Arabidopsis thaliana: one gene and its partner. The protein of the gene in region 2 purifies or fractionates together with the protein of the main gene of each other region. This does not show direct contact. Each region holds a gene or a part of one and is shown on either strand. Other genes may lie near its edges.

What was found.
Region 1: the proteins of AtRZ-1b (region 2) and VRN1 fractionate together in Arabidopsis thaliana (co-fractionation; one large-scale study listed by BioGRID). This does not show direct contact.

What each region holds. Positions count from the first base shown.
Region 1 is NC_003074.8:6,547,586-6,553,913, forward strand, and holds VRN1 (AP2/B3-like transcriptional factor family protein), read right to left. Parts: upstream 4,450-6,328; 5' UTR 3,984-4,449; coding exon 3,924-3,983; intron 2,743-3,923; coding exon 2,295-2,742; intron 2,199-2,294; coding exon 2,130-2,198; intron 2,031-2,129; coding exon 1,831-2,030; intron 1,741-1,830; coding exon 1,502-1,740; coding exon of another isoform or gene 1,492-1,501; exon of another isoform or gene 1,180-1,491; intron 1,070-1,179; coding exon 967-1,069; 3' UTR 908-966; intron 825-907; 3' UTR 542-824; downstream 1-541. Other genes in the region: ETP1 (EIN2 targeting protein1), read left to right, coding at 1-176; AT3G19000 (2-oxoglutarate (2OG) and Fe(II)-dependent oxygenase superfamily protein), read right to left, coding at 6,083-6,328. UniProt on the Arabidopsis thaliana protein: Essential protein. Involved in the regulation of vernalization. Acts as a transcriptional repressor of FLC, a major target of the vernalization pathway. Binds DNA in vitro in a non-sequence-specific manner.
Region 2 is NC_003070.9:22,338,081-22,342,803, forward strand, and holds AtRZ-1b (RNA-binding (RRM/RBD/RNP motifs) family protein with retrovirus zinc finger-like domain-containing protein), read left to right. Parts: upstream 1-1,728; 5' UTR 1,729-1,801; intron 1,802-1,806; exon of another isoform or gene 1,807-1,918; intron 1,919-1,995; 5' UTR 1,996-2,008; coding exon 2,009-2,134; exon of another isoform or gene 2,135-3,093; coding exon of another isoform or gene 3,094-3,108; exon of another isoform or gene 3,109-3,139; intron 3,140-3,225; coding exon 3,226-3,734; intron 3,735-3,824; coding exon 3,825-4,068; 3' UTR 4,069-4,217; downstream 4,218-4,723. Other genes in the region: AT1G60640 (stress response protein), read right to left, coding at 94-153, 239-304, 387-446, 538-603, 687-773, 923-1,158, 1,256-1,433; CB5LP (cytochrome B5-like protein), read right to left, coding at 4,509-4,723. UniProt on the Arabidopsis thaliana protein: Binds RNA and DNA sequences non-specifically. May be involved in tolerance to cold stress.

The DNA of each region.
Region 1 (6,328 bases), on a different chromosome or scaffold from region 2:
TCACCGACAAGATATACATTCTCGGGGAGGATAATAAAGTCGATGAAGTAGGTTCTGGAGAGGGAGAGGCTACAGATTCACTTGAAGGAATTTCGCAAGTTATTCTCAATTACGCTCCAAGTTTGGTCCAAATCGAGCAAGCCGGAGGAGGCAAAACAAAAAGAGGTGACGACTAAAACAACCTCTACATGTAATATTAGTTTTTTGTGTTTTTCTTAATTTATTTTTGTCATATTTTTTGAATAATCCCCTGATCGAGCGACCTGGAAGTAGAAGAGGCCCTTAAATTTTCTTGTTCATGTTCTTTGAATAATCCTTTGAACTGATATCTCAATAAGATTGTAATATTGTAGTTGTCCCTTGCTTGATTTACACACGGTTTTCTTTTTTTTTTAAGTTTTATGATCAAAACATGTCTGGTACAGTATATGTCTAGAGAACAAGTGTTGTGTCTAAAACTTCAACCATTTCTAATTCAATGACAAAAGTAACTCATGTTCGAAGCTCCGAGTTTCTTTTTCACCTAAGTTTCAAGTTGTACAAACAACTAGAAGTCATTATTACCCATTCGCATAAATCTAGCATATATTGGACCAAAACATAACCCACAAATTATTTAAAACCACAGCTAAGCTTGTGGTTTTTTTGGGGCATCCAAAGTTGAAACATATCAAATGTTTACTCATGATACTACACTCCTTGATTGTCGTTTAACCTAGTGTTATGCAAATATAAACGCACGCATATCAGCAAGAGATCCATAGAGTTTACTGCAGGGATTTTGACCAGCACTGCATCTTCCTCTCGTTTCAATTATGCATCCCCTGACATCAGCATGACAATCTAACAGTCAACCACAATTTAGTGGTGATCACATGGTTAAGCATGTGCCAATTACGTACCGTACCTTGTAGCTGTAAGAGCGGGTGCCTGCACCTTGGGAATCTGGATGTTTTCTTATGTAATCTACTGCTTCACCTCTGTATGTCTGCTACCACAGTTCCCACCTACAATCTTATATATGCATTTTCCTTCAATACTCCCATTTTCACCAGTATCCTCAAGCAAACTGCATGAAGAGGGTTTCCAATTATCTCAGAGGTGATCAAACAACAACTTCATCAAATTCTAGACGTTGGCTTGAAGGCTATTCTTAAGTTTGTTATCTCAAGTTCCCTCCTTGTATTCCACCAGAACAGTTTGTCTTTCTACTCAAATTTGATGGAGATTAGGTATTTACAGACTTCTTCTTAAACCCTAACTTTGTTTGTTCTACTCAAACAATTTGAGTTCCACTCAAGAGGTTATATATAATGAGGTAAAAACAACTTATCCACATCGATAACACAAAGTAAACCCGAGAGAAAAAACGAGACACTGACGCAATAATGACACAGACCAGAAGAGAGTTTTTTAGTTGTTTTTAAATTAAGATACTCCTACACGACATTGTACTTGCAAATCCAGAATGATCACACCATAATGCTTTGTTCAGACGTACTCGTTGACTCGAAAGGCTGTCACTTTCAAAACGAAATCTCTGGTTCTGAGCAGCTCAAACACACAGACGTCTCCTTCTCCTAAGTTGTTCTCTAGAGTGAATTCGTACCATCCTTGACTGAATTTGGCTCTCCCGGCTTTGTAGAGACATCGAACAGGCCATTGTTTCTCCGCAAGCTGGACTTTGATGAACCCGGAGATCCCACTTAGGTACTTCTCAGCAAACCCAGAAGGAAGATACTGTTGAGAGAAACAGAAACAGAAGGCTTCTTTTAGAGATCAGTGAAGACACCGATAAGATTAAGTCTTCCTAAGATGTTTTTTTATTACCATGATGCAACCTCTGTATAGATAGGATGGTCGCAGAACCACTCTGAAGAAAGGGTTTGTTGGTTCGAACGTTTTGGCTGCATTGATGGCTCTCTCTCTTTCTTCTGCAGTCACGGTTCTCTTTCTCGCAGAAGCACTCTCGTAGAACTTTGAACGGTTCTCTGGATCATCATCTCGCGGAGCTGATGAGTTTATTTCCTCTGTAAGGACAATATCAAAAGGATATATGTATCATGAGGAAGAATCTGTGAATCCTCTGAAAACGAGTCTGAAGCATTTCAAAGAGGAAAAGTGCTTACCAGGATCAGCATTTTTCTTCTTCCTCCCTCTCTTTTTAGGTATTTTTGGGGTTGGCGTTGGCTCTTCAGCTGGAGATAAGGAAAATATCAAGCATCAACCTCAAAAGAATGATAAGACGCGTAATCAGCGATAGATAAAGGGAATCAGTTGGTTATAAATATCACCTTTAACTGGTCCAGTGAACAAGGTTTGGATGGCTGAACTAGCATACCCTTTGTTGGCTGGTACTGTAGACTCAGGAAGTGGTGATGGGTACACAGAAGAAGGAAAGATGACCTCGGCATCTTCATCTTCAAGGTCTTCAAACAAACGGGCGCGTTTGAAGTGGTTGTGAGCGGAATCCATGAGACCGGTGGAATGGTAATTGATCTCAGAGTGGGATAAATTGAAAATGTAGACGCTGAAGGCAGAGTTTCCTTCATATCTAAAAATCAAAAGATAACCAATGCGAATGGAGTAACGGTCAACAAACTCTTGCCAACCATCTTGAAACCAAATTTTGTTGTCAGCTTTCCTTAGTCCTACACGCCAAACATGACCATCAGGTACTGTGAGTGCAACAGCAACCGAAAGCTCATCCTTGAATTTACTCACAAACTTATCTGGGACCCTCTGCACAAGCATGCCGGTATGAGATATAAAGAAGCATATAATGATATAAATGTCCACAATATCTATAAGAACAGCACAGAATATTGCGAGAACATCAAATCGAAACAGACATTTTTCAGCAAAAACATCCAATAAACACAGTAGCTGAAGAAACGACGGCTTTACCTAATTTAAAAACACAAACCAAAAGGCCATATTTCAGTTTAGAGAAGGCATCAACAAGGAGACACAGTCCATTAGTACACATGTAAAATGGTACATTTATCTCTGAATAGATTGATTACACGACTCCTATGATCTTATCACATTAATAATTTGCAAACTTGGTTCCACATAAATGCCTGTGTTAATCGAAATCATTATTCCAGAGAAAATCTAGTCACTTAAATGCCAAATGGAGAGCTAAGCAAATTTGGATTTGTTCAAAACAATGCTCTTGGGGGAATCTGTACAAGTGATGACTAATCACTGTATCAAATAAAGTAGACAACTTTAAAACATAAGCACAATACATAGAGACCTTCAAAACAAGTCAACTACTCAGTTTTAGGGATTCACTCACAAGCCACACAATACTCAATAAGGAGTCTAAGATCTCAGACATTCCTAAGTCAAACAGAGAAAACAGTCAAAATAGAGTAAACAAAACAGACATTTATAATAGAGAAACCATAAACAGATCTCAACTTTTTCTCCTCAGAAGAAATTTGATCAATCTGACAGAATCAAATCGTCCTCCAAAAGTCAAATCACTCAAAAAAAAAAAAAAAATTCCCAAACTACACACAATATGCTGTCAGAGTACAGATATACCATCAAATACCCAATTTCCCACCAAACACAACCAATGACCAAAAGAAACTGTCTTGCAGACTTCCATTGGAAACCCACAAATTCTCATTTGACCAATAAGACAACACAAAGTTCAAAAATGGAACTTCTTTTCATTACCCAAAACAGGGAAGAGTAAGAAGATAAAAGCACAACCTTGACTCGATTCTTACAAAGAATCAATACAAGTGAATTGTAAGAAATCAAGCAAGAGTGTCACAAGGCATAATCTTACAAACTCGTTCACCAGATTCCAAACCTTGAAAACCCTCAATTTCGCACAAAATCAAAACTTTGAAAGATGAGGAGAAGGAGAACAGAGAGAGAGAGAGAGAGAGAGAGTAAGTTACCAGACGTTTTTCTTGGATAGTGGATGAGAAAATCAACTTATGGAAGAAAGGGCGTGGCATGTTCAGACACAACAGTGACGAAGTAAGAAAAAATAGAAGAAGAAGAAGAAGAAGAGAAGACCAGAGAGTCAGATCATGAAACGACGACGGAGAATAAAAGGACAAAGAGACTAAGAGAGAAGAAGAACCCTTTCAGATCTGAAGGAGTTTTGTTGTGTTAAAAAAGTTCATTAGATTTTAGTCAAAGGGGTTACAACACAACAATCTCTCTTTTCTTTCTTTCTTTTTTACACACCTGACCTGAAGAGTGACCCAACCAAACCCAAGAAGATGAAAAAATTAAAAAAAAAAAAAAAAAACCAACTTGTCATAAAACGAAGCTCGAGCGAGTTGAATCTGTGTTAGCTCGGTAGACTCGTTGAGTCGAATCGGTAGGTCACTCGTGTGGTTTCTTTTATTAACTAATCAAAAGCCGACCGCCCCCACCTACTCCCCTTTTTCGACCATCTTTTTTTTTCTTAACAAATATTTCTTTTTTGTAACACGCAATATCTCAGAAAATATATTATTGCCTTATAACAACAAATATATTTGATACTGTTATATATACGTCCTTATTTGCAAACAGATCATACCGTTCCGGAAAATCTCAATTTTATTTAGAACATATAAAAACACTTGTAAACTAGTGTACCGTGAAGCCTATAGACAAATATAGGTGGAAAGGAAAACAAAACTGGTCTCCAAAAGAAAAGTCTTATCATAAACTCATGCCCACAGTATTAATGGTATGTATATACTTAGAGAATGACAAGTTAAAACATGTATAGAGAAATCCAAATACAACATGTATAATCGATTGCAACATGTACGTATATTCATGGCTACCTCACATGCATAAAGTTTTATGTATTTCTTGTATAAATCTAGCTACAGTTAATAGTTATACTTAAGAATAAATAGCCTATGCATACACACTTAAATCCAAAAAGAAGTTTAACCTCTCTAATGTATGTTTAGTATACTATTATTTCTCCTTAGAATATTGGAACTTGACTTGTAGTTAATTAGTTTGGGCTAACCGTTGGCCATCATTGGTCATAACATTATGTTTAAATGGATTCCAATTTATAGTCAGAGAGCCTTGGTTCTGTCTTCTGACAGTATCCTTATGAGCTGTAAGAAAATAAAGGGGTAAACGTAAACATTCCTCTTTTCACCAGTTCGCGTGCATTTTAGAAATTCTTGATGCCTAATTAAAAATTACAAAGCAACAAACTCGCTGATTTTTAAAAATAGAATCCAAAAGTAGATCCAATATCGCATGCATGTCCAAAAGCATTTTATTCAAGCATAATGAAGGAAATTGCATCGTAATTCATACATAAATTATTCAACGGTATGAAAATGTAGATAGAATCATAGAAAAGCAAAACATGTGTGTATATATGTATCACAGTAGAAAAAATAATTTGAATAATCAAGCTCTGAAGTGATTAATATGAATGTAACGTATCGTCAATTTGAAGTTTGTTGAAACACATTAGCTAGTATTCTTTGTATCTAAGCAGGTTTTGTCGGTTTATAAACTTCCTCTAATGGCTTAATCTTGGCTTCTTGTGACGGGCTGAAGAAGAATGATATTGAAAATCTCATTTGAATAACTCATTAACTTGTATGTTTACCACCACTCTGTGCTTGTGTATTCGTGGGTTAAGTTGGTGTTTTAGAAGATTTGTTAAATCTTTGAACCGTGGCAAGTTGAAGGCAATCACGTGATTTGTTTGGATGTATATTTTGTCTTTTGACAACGCATTTATCAACTTTTCAGATCGGTTTATTATTTAGGATTAACAAATGTAAAACACTGATATATATACACTAATGATAAATATTTGATGAGAATTTTTCTTAAATCCCAATTCGAATTTTAAACATGTGAAATTAAGAACTATCGCATTTATCAACATTAGGTCAGTCTACGTATATTTGGAAATGAAAAATGACGAAGATCGCAAATGACACAACATTCTGATGACCGTTTATTTTAAACATAAACATGTAAAATCTCGCGTGCATTTTGGGAAATATGAACTTGGCTAACTTATATAAAAAGAACGAATAGAAATCAACATAAGGTTTAATTATAATGTGATTAACTAAGCCTTGAAGTGATCAATCTGGATATTCTCAACCTCGAGTTTCTTGAAATCACTTCTGTTTCTTGAAACAAAGAACTTTCCCCAATTGTACTTTTTATAACAAGGCGGGTTTTCCTCACTTATAAGCTCCTCCAATGGCTCAATATTGGCTTCATGTGATGGGAAGAAGAAGAATGGTATTGAGAATCTCTCTTTGCTTGTATTCACGACCACTCTATGTTCAGCACTCCAATACTCATCATT
Region 2 (4,723 bases):
TTAGTAGTTTTGCAAGAATTTGGTTGAGTAAATGACTCATGGGAAGAACACAAAGCACTTGTTGACATTTGCTCGAACGTCAAAAAGAAAAACCTGAGATGGCGTCCCTGAATTGTCAACCTCTTCGTTTTCTCCATGTTTGGTCGATGAATCCTGGATGTTCATATTAAGAAACGAATAGATAAGGTTTTTGACAGGTCAACCATGGTCACAGGGTTATAGAGCAGGCAAATTTTACCTTTTCCTGTTTTTGTGATCTCCTAAGCTCTCTCCGAGCTCTTCTGTTTCCTTTTATCTGCTTCTCCTACATTTAGGATATTTGCAAGACTTTGGTTAGGACTCATTGGACTAACACAAGCATTTGATGGCATTGTCTTAAATCTCACCTGAGATGGCGTCTCTGGATCTTCAACTTCTTCGTTTTCTCCATTTTTGGTCAATGAATCCTAGACGTTTATATTGAAAACACGAATCAATTAGGTTTCCAACAAACCAACCATGGTCACAATGCTTCAGTATTGAGCAAGCTACATTTACCTTTTCCTGTTTTTGAGATCTCTTTCCCTGTCTTTGTGATCTTCTGTTTCCTTTTTTCTCCTTCTCCTACATTTAAGATTTGTGCAAGAATTTGGTTAGGACTCATTGACAAAACAAAAAGCACTCGTTGGCAAATTCTCTAATGTAACCTGAGATGCTGTCTCTAGATCGTCAACTTCTTCGTCATCAGTTCTAATCTTTCCTTCTTTCACTAATTTCTCCATACGAGCATGCTTCTGAAATGAGTCAAACGACAAAAAATACTATCTCATCAACTACAAGACTGATGAGGAAAAGCTCAAAACTAATCCCGTGCTTATCATCTACTACTTGATTCCAAAAAGGACCAAACACTCAAATGCTAATTCAAAGCTACCTAATTTACCTTTGATGAAACATGTGCTTGCATTGTGTTCTCATTCAAGCAAACAACGGTTGGACAATATCTGCATTTATAAACCGATTTGGATTGTATCATACAACCGAGAATATAGTTCTCTTCCTCTTCTTCGGGTGGTTCTTCTAAAAAACGATTCATTGACATCTTCTCCAATGTCCCACCATAGTCATCAGCATCAGAGTTATCATCACCATCATCAACATCAGCGTCTTCGCCAGCAGCTATAACAGAGAATAAGCAAAGATTTTACCAAAGGTTCTCTGAGAGTACAATCACAAGAGAACTAAAAGAGATAATTGCTCAATTGAAGAAGCAAACCTGGGGATTCATCATCTCCTGAATCATCACCGTCCTCGGAAACTTCTGCAACAGAGTCTTCTTCTTCAGATTGTTCTGATTCTTCCGTCTCAGGATCAGAGTCAGAAGAGAAGCACGATGAATCGGATCCACTGTCTTTATCACCATGCTCAAGCTTGTAAAATCGTCTCTTTATCATTTTTACTTCGTGTTTACTCTACAGAGACAAAACCCAAATTTAGAATTCGAAATTCTCCAACAAATCAAAAGTAAAGGAGCAAACTTCGGATTAAAGTAAATAGAAAAGAGGAGACTTTCGTACCGTGAGTTCCGCAGAAGAGAGCTTGGAGACTGAAAAGGGGAAAGCTTTGCTAAAGAGAAGGGTTTTAGGGTTTTTAGGTTATTTTTGTAAATTAAGTAACTTTTATAAGGGTGTTTTAGTCATTGAGTGGACAACATTTTATCCCAATAAATATACTTATTGAGTTGAAGTTAATCCTCTGCAGTTATTTCATTGTCCATCACCAATCGCCAAAACCGCAGAAAGGTCTGACCTTTGGATTAGCGGTGAGTAATTAGGGTTTATCATATCGAAATTTCTAGGGTTTCTTTTTCTTACTTCGGATTTCAGCAAGTTTATTGACCCGAATCTTTGTTTCAATAGAATTTTTTTGAGTTGTTTAAGTAAGAGTTGGAGTTTCGCTTTGATTTTTCGAGTTTGATTTTGTGGGCTAACTATGTTTATGCGTTTTTGGTTTCAGTGAGAGTTTCACAATGAAAGATAGAGAAAACGATGGAAATCTTGAGAGCAGAATCTTCGTGGGAGGGTTATCGTGGGATGTCACAGAGAGACAGCTTGAGAGTACCTTTGACCGCTACGGGAAAATCACTGAGTGTCAGGTCTTGTATCGATTCTCGTACTTTATGATCAGAAGTCTCAGAGACTCGTTTTGAAACCTGTGTTTAGTGAATGATACCTCTGAGATTGTAGGATAGTTTTGTTTGATGAACCTAAGACTCATCTATTCTGTAGAAGAGCACACACAGATATTGAGGTTTATTGACTTGTTGAAGGATGCAGTCGAGGAATTAGTAGAGCTTTCTTAGGAAGTAAACATGCATCTCAACCTCCTCTTGATCTGAAAATCTGTTTGAGAGCCGTATGTTTAGAAATGCAAGAGTTTTGAGATAGATCATGGCTCTTGTCTCAGCATCAGTGCAGTAATTTTGGTTTGACGTCACTGTGTTTTGTTGGATATTATGATTAAATTGCAGCTGAGCTCTCTTTTCAGTGGTTTTGACACCAATCAGGACTAACCATCTTTTATTCTCTTGCCTGTGGTATCTGCTTTAGTAGTCACTGAGATGGTTTTCTTGTACTCATTCATCATGAGCCACTAGTTGTTGTAATTGTAAAAGTACAGTTATTGGCACATGTAAGCATCTCTAAGTAGTCTATCAATACACCAAGATGATAAGTTTCTGGTCAAAAATGGTCTTGATCAGAATATTAGTCTTCTTTTTTAGGTCTTGATCAGAATATTAGTCTTCTTTTTTAGTGGAATTAGCATGGAAAACGCATTCCTGTGGATTTGTTGTGGGAAACTGATTTGAGGTAACAGGTCTGTTGTAAGGGTTAAAAGTATGGTTGGCTAGAGGCTAATCTCCAACATCGTTTTGCTAGGATTATTGTTGTGGTGATACTTCTTGTGGATTAGTATTTCTACAAGTATGCAGCTGTAGTTTGACTTTGTGTTGTGTGATTCTAAGGACTTGAAATGAAGTAAATTTGTGAATCTTGCTACCGTCTTCTGTTTGCTTGTAAATGTTCTGAGTTTGCCACTTCTAGGACATGCTATATGAGAGATAGGAATGTAATACATCTGCTTATTTCTTAACTCTAATGTAACATCTGGTTCTTAGTAATATATCTTGTTCCTGGCTCAATATGCATTTTAATAACATTATTGGTCTTCTTTGCGTACTTGTAGATTATGGTGGGGAGAGATACTGGGCGTCCACGTGGTTTTGGGTTTATTACATTCACTGATCGCAGAGGAGCTGATGATGCAATTAAGCACATGCATGGAAGGGAGTTGGGCAATAAGGTCATCTCCGTGAACAAAGCTGAGCCCAAAGTTGGTGGAGAAGATGTAGACCAATTAAAGAAAGGTGGAGGCTATTCATCTCGAGGGAAGGGAACCGAGGATGAGTGCTTTAAATGCAGACGCCCTGGTCATTGGGCTCGAGATTGCCCATCAACTGGTGACGATCGAGAACGGTTCAGAGTTCCCCTTGCGATGCGCTCTCGTATTGGAGACATAGATGGACACCGAGATCGCTATGGAGATCGTGATCTGGAGAGGGAGCGGGAGCGGGAGCGTGAGTTTGACCGCTACATGGATGGACGCCGTGACCGAGATGGGGGACGATATAGCTACAGGGACCGCTTCGACAGTGGAGACAAGTATGAGCCTCGTGATCACTATCCATTTGAGAGGTTTGTAGCTCTTGTCCTCAGGTCTAAATAAATGTTCCAACATGTGTTCTTTTAGGAAAGTCATGACCTTTTGATGTATTAACAATGTAGATACGCACCACCAGGAGACCGTTTTGTGAGTGATAGGTATGGGATGCCTGAACATCATCTTGAGAATGAATATCGCGGGAGAGAGAGAAGCTATGACAGGGACAGATACGCAAGGGATACAAGTGACAGATATGGAGATATGGGACCGATACGCGATGAGGGAAGACCCTACAGAAGCAGACCAGGTCCTTATGACCGTCCTAGCCGTCCTGGAGGCAGACCTTCATCATATGAACGTTGGTAGTTTGTTTTGGTTAACCAGATGTCAATGCTTATGCTTTGGGATTTAGGTCTATATCAGAGATAGAACTCGAACTCGAGATCTCTGTTATGCTTTTTTGTCGAATATTATGATTCTTCATCGCAGTAAAAAAGTTATGTTCTTATGATCCTATTGATTCCCATAAAGCAATTCAATAGATTAAACTCAAAATTGATGGATTTAAAACACTTGAGACAGAGTTAAGCATAGAACACTTGAAACAGAGCATAGCTTCACCATGAAAATTAAGAGAAAGGAGGAAACTTTGGCAATACAATGGAAGAAGAAGTGTTACACTAGCAAGACAAAAAGGTAATGCAATCTCAAATCTTCAATGAGAAGAGAATTAAAAAAGCCATCTTTAAGCTTACTTAAGAAGAAATCTCAAATCTTCAATCAAATCTCAAATCTTTAAGCTTTTACTAATGAAGTTCCCCGATGTAGAAATCTTCAATCATGTCGAAAACACGAGTGGCGTGTTGAGGTCCGAAGAAGCCATCAGTAGAATCATCACCAGCATGATCAAGAATAGCGTCACCACCAGGATGTTCTTCAACATAAGAAGTAATATCATAGACTTTATCTTTGATTATGATCCAACAATCGTTCCTTTTGTTATGTACTGCGACTTCACTCT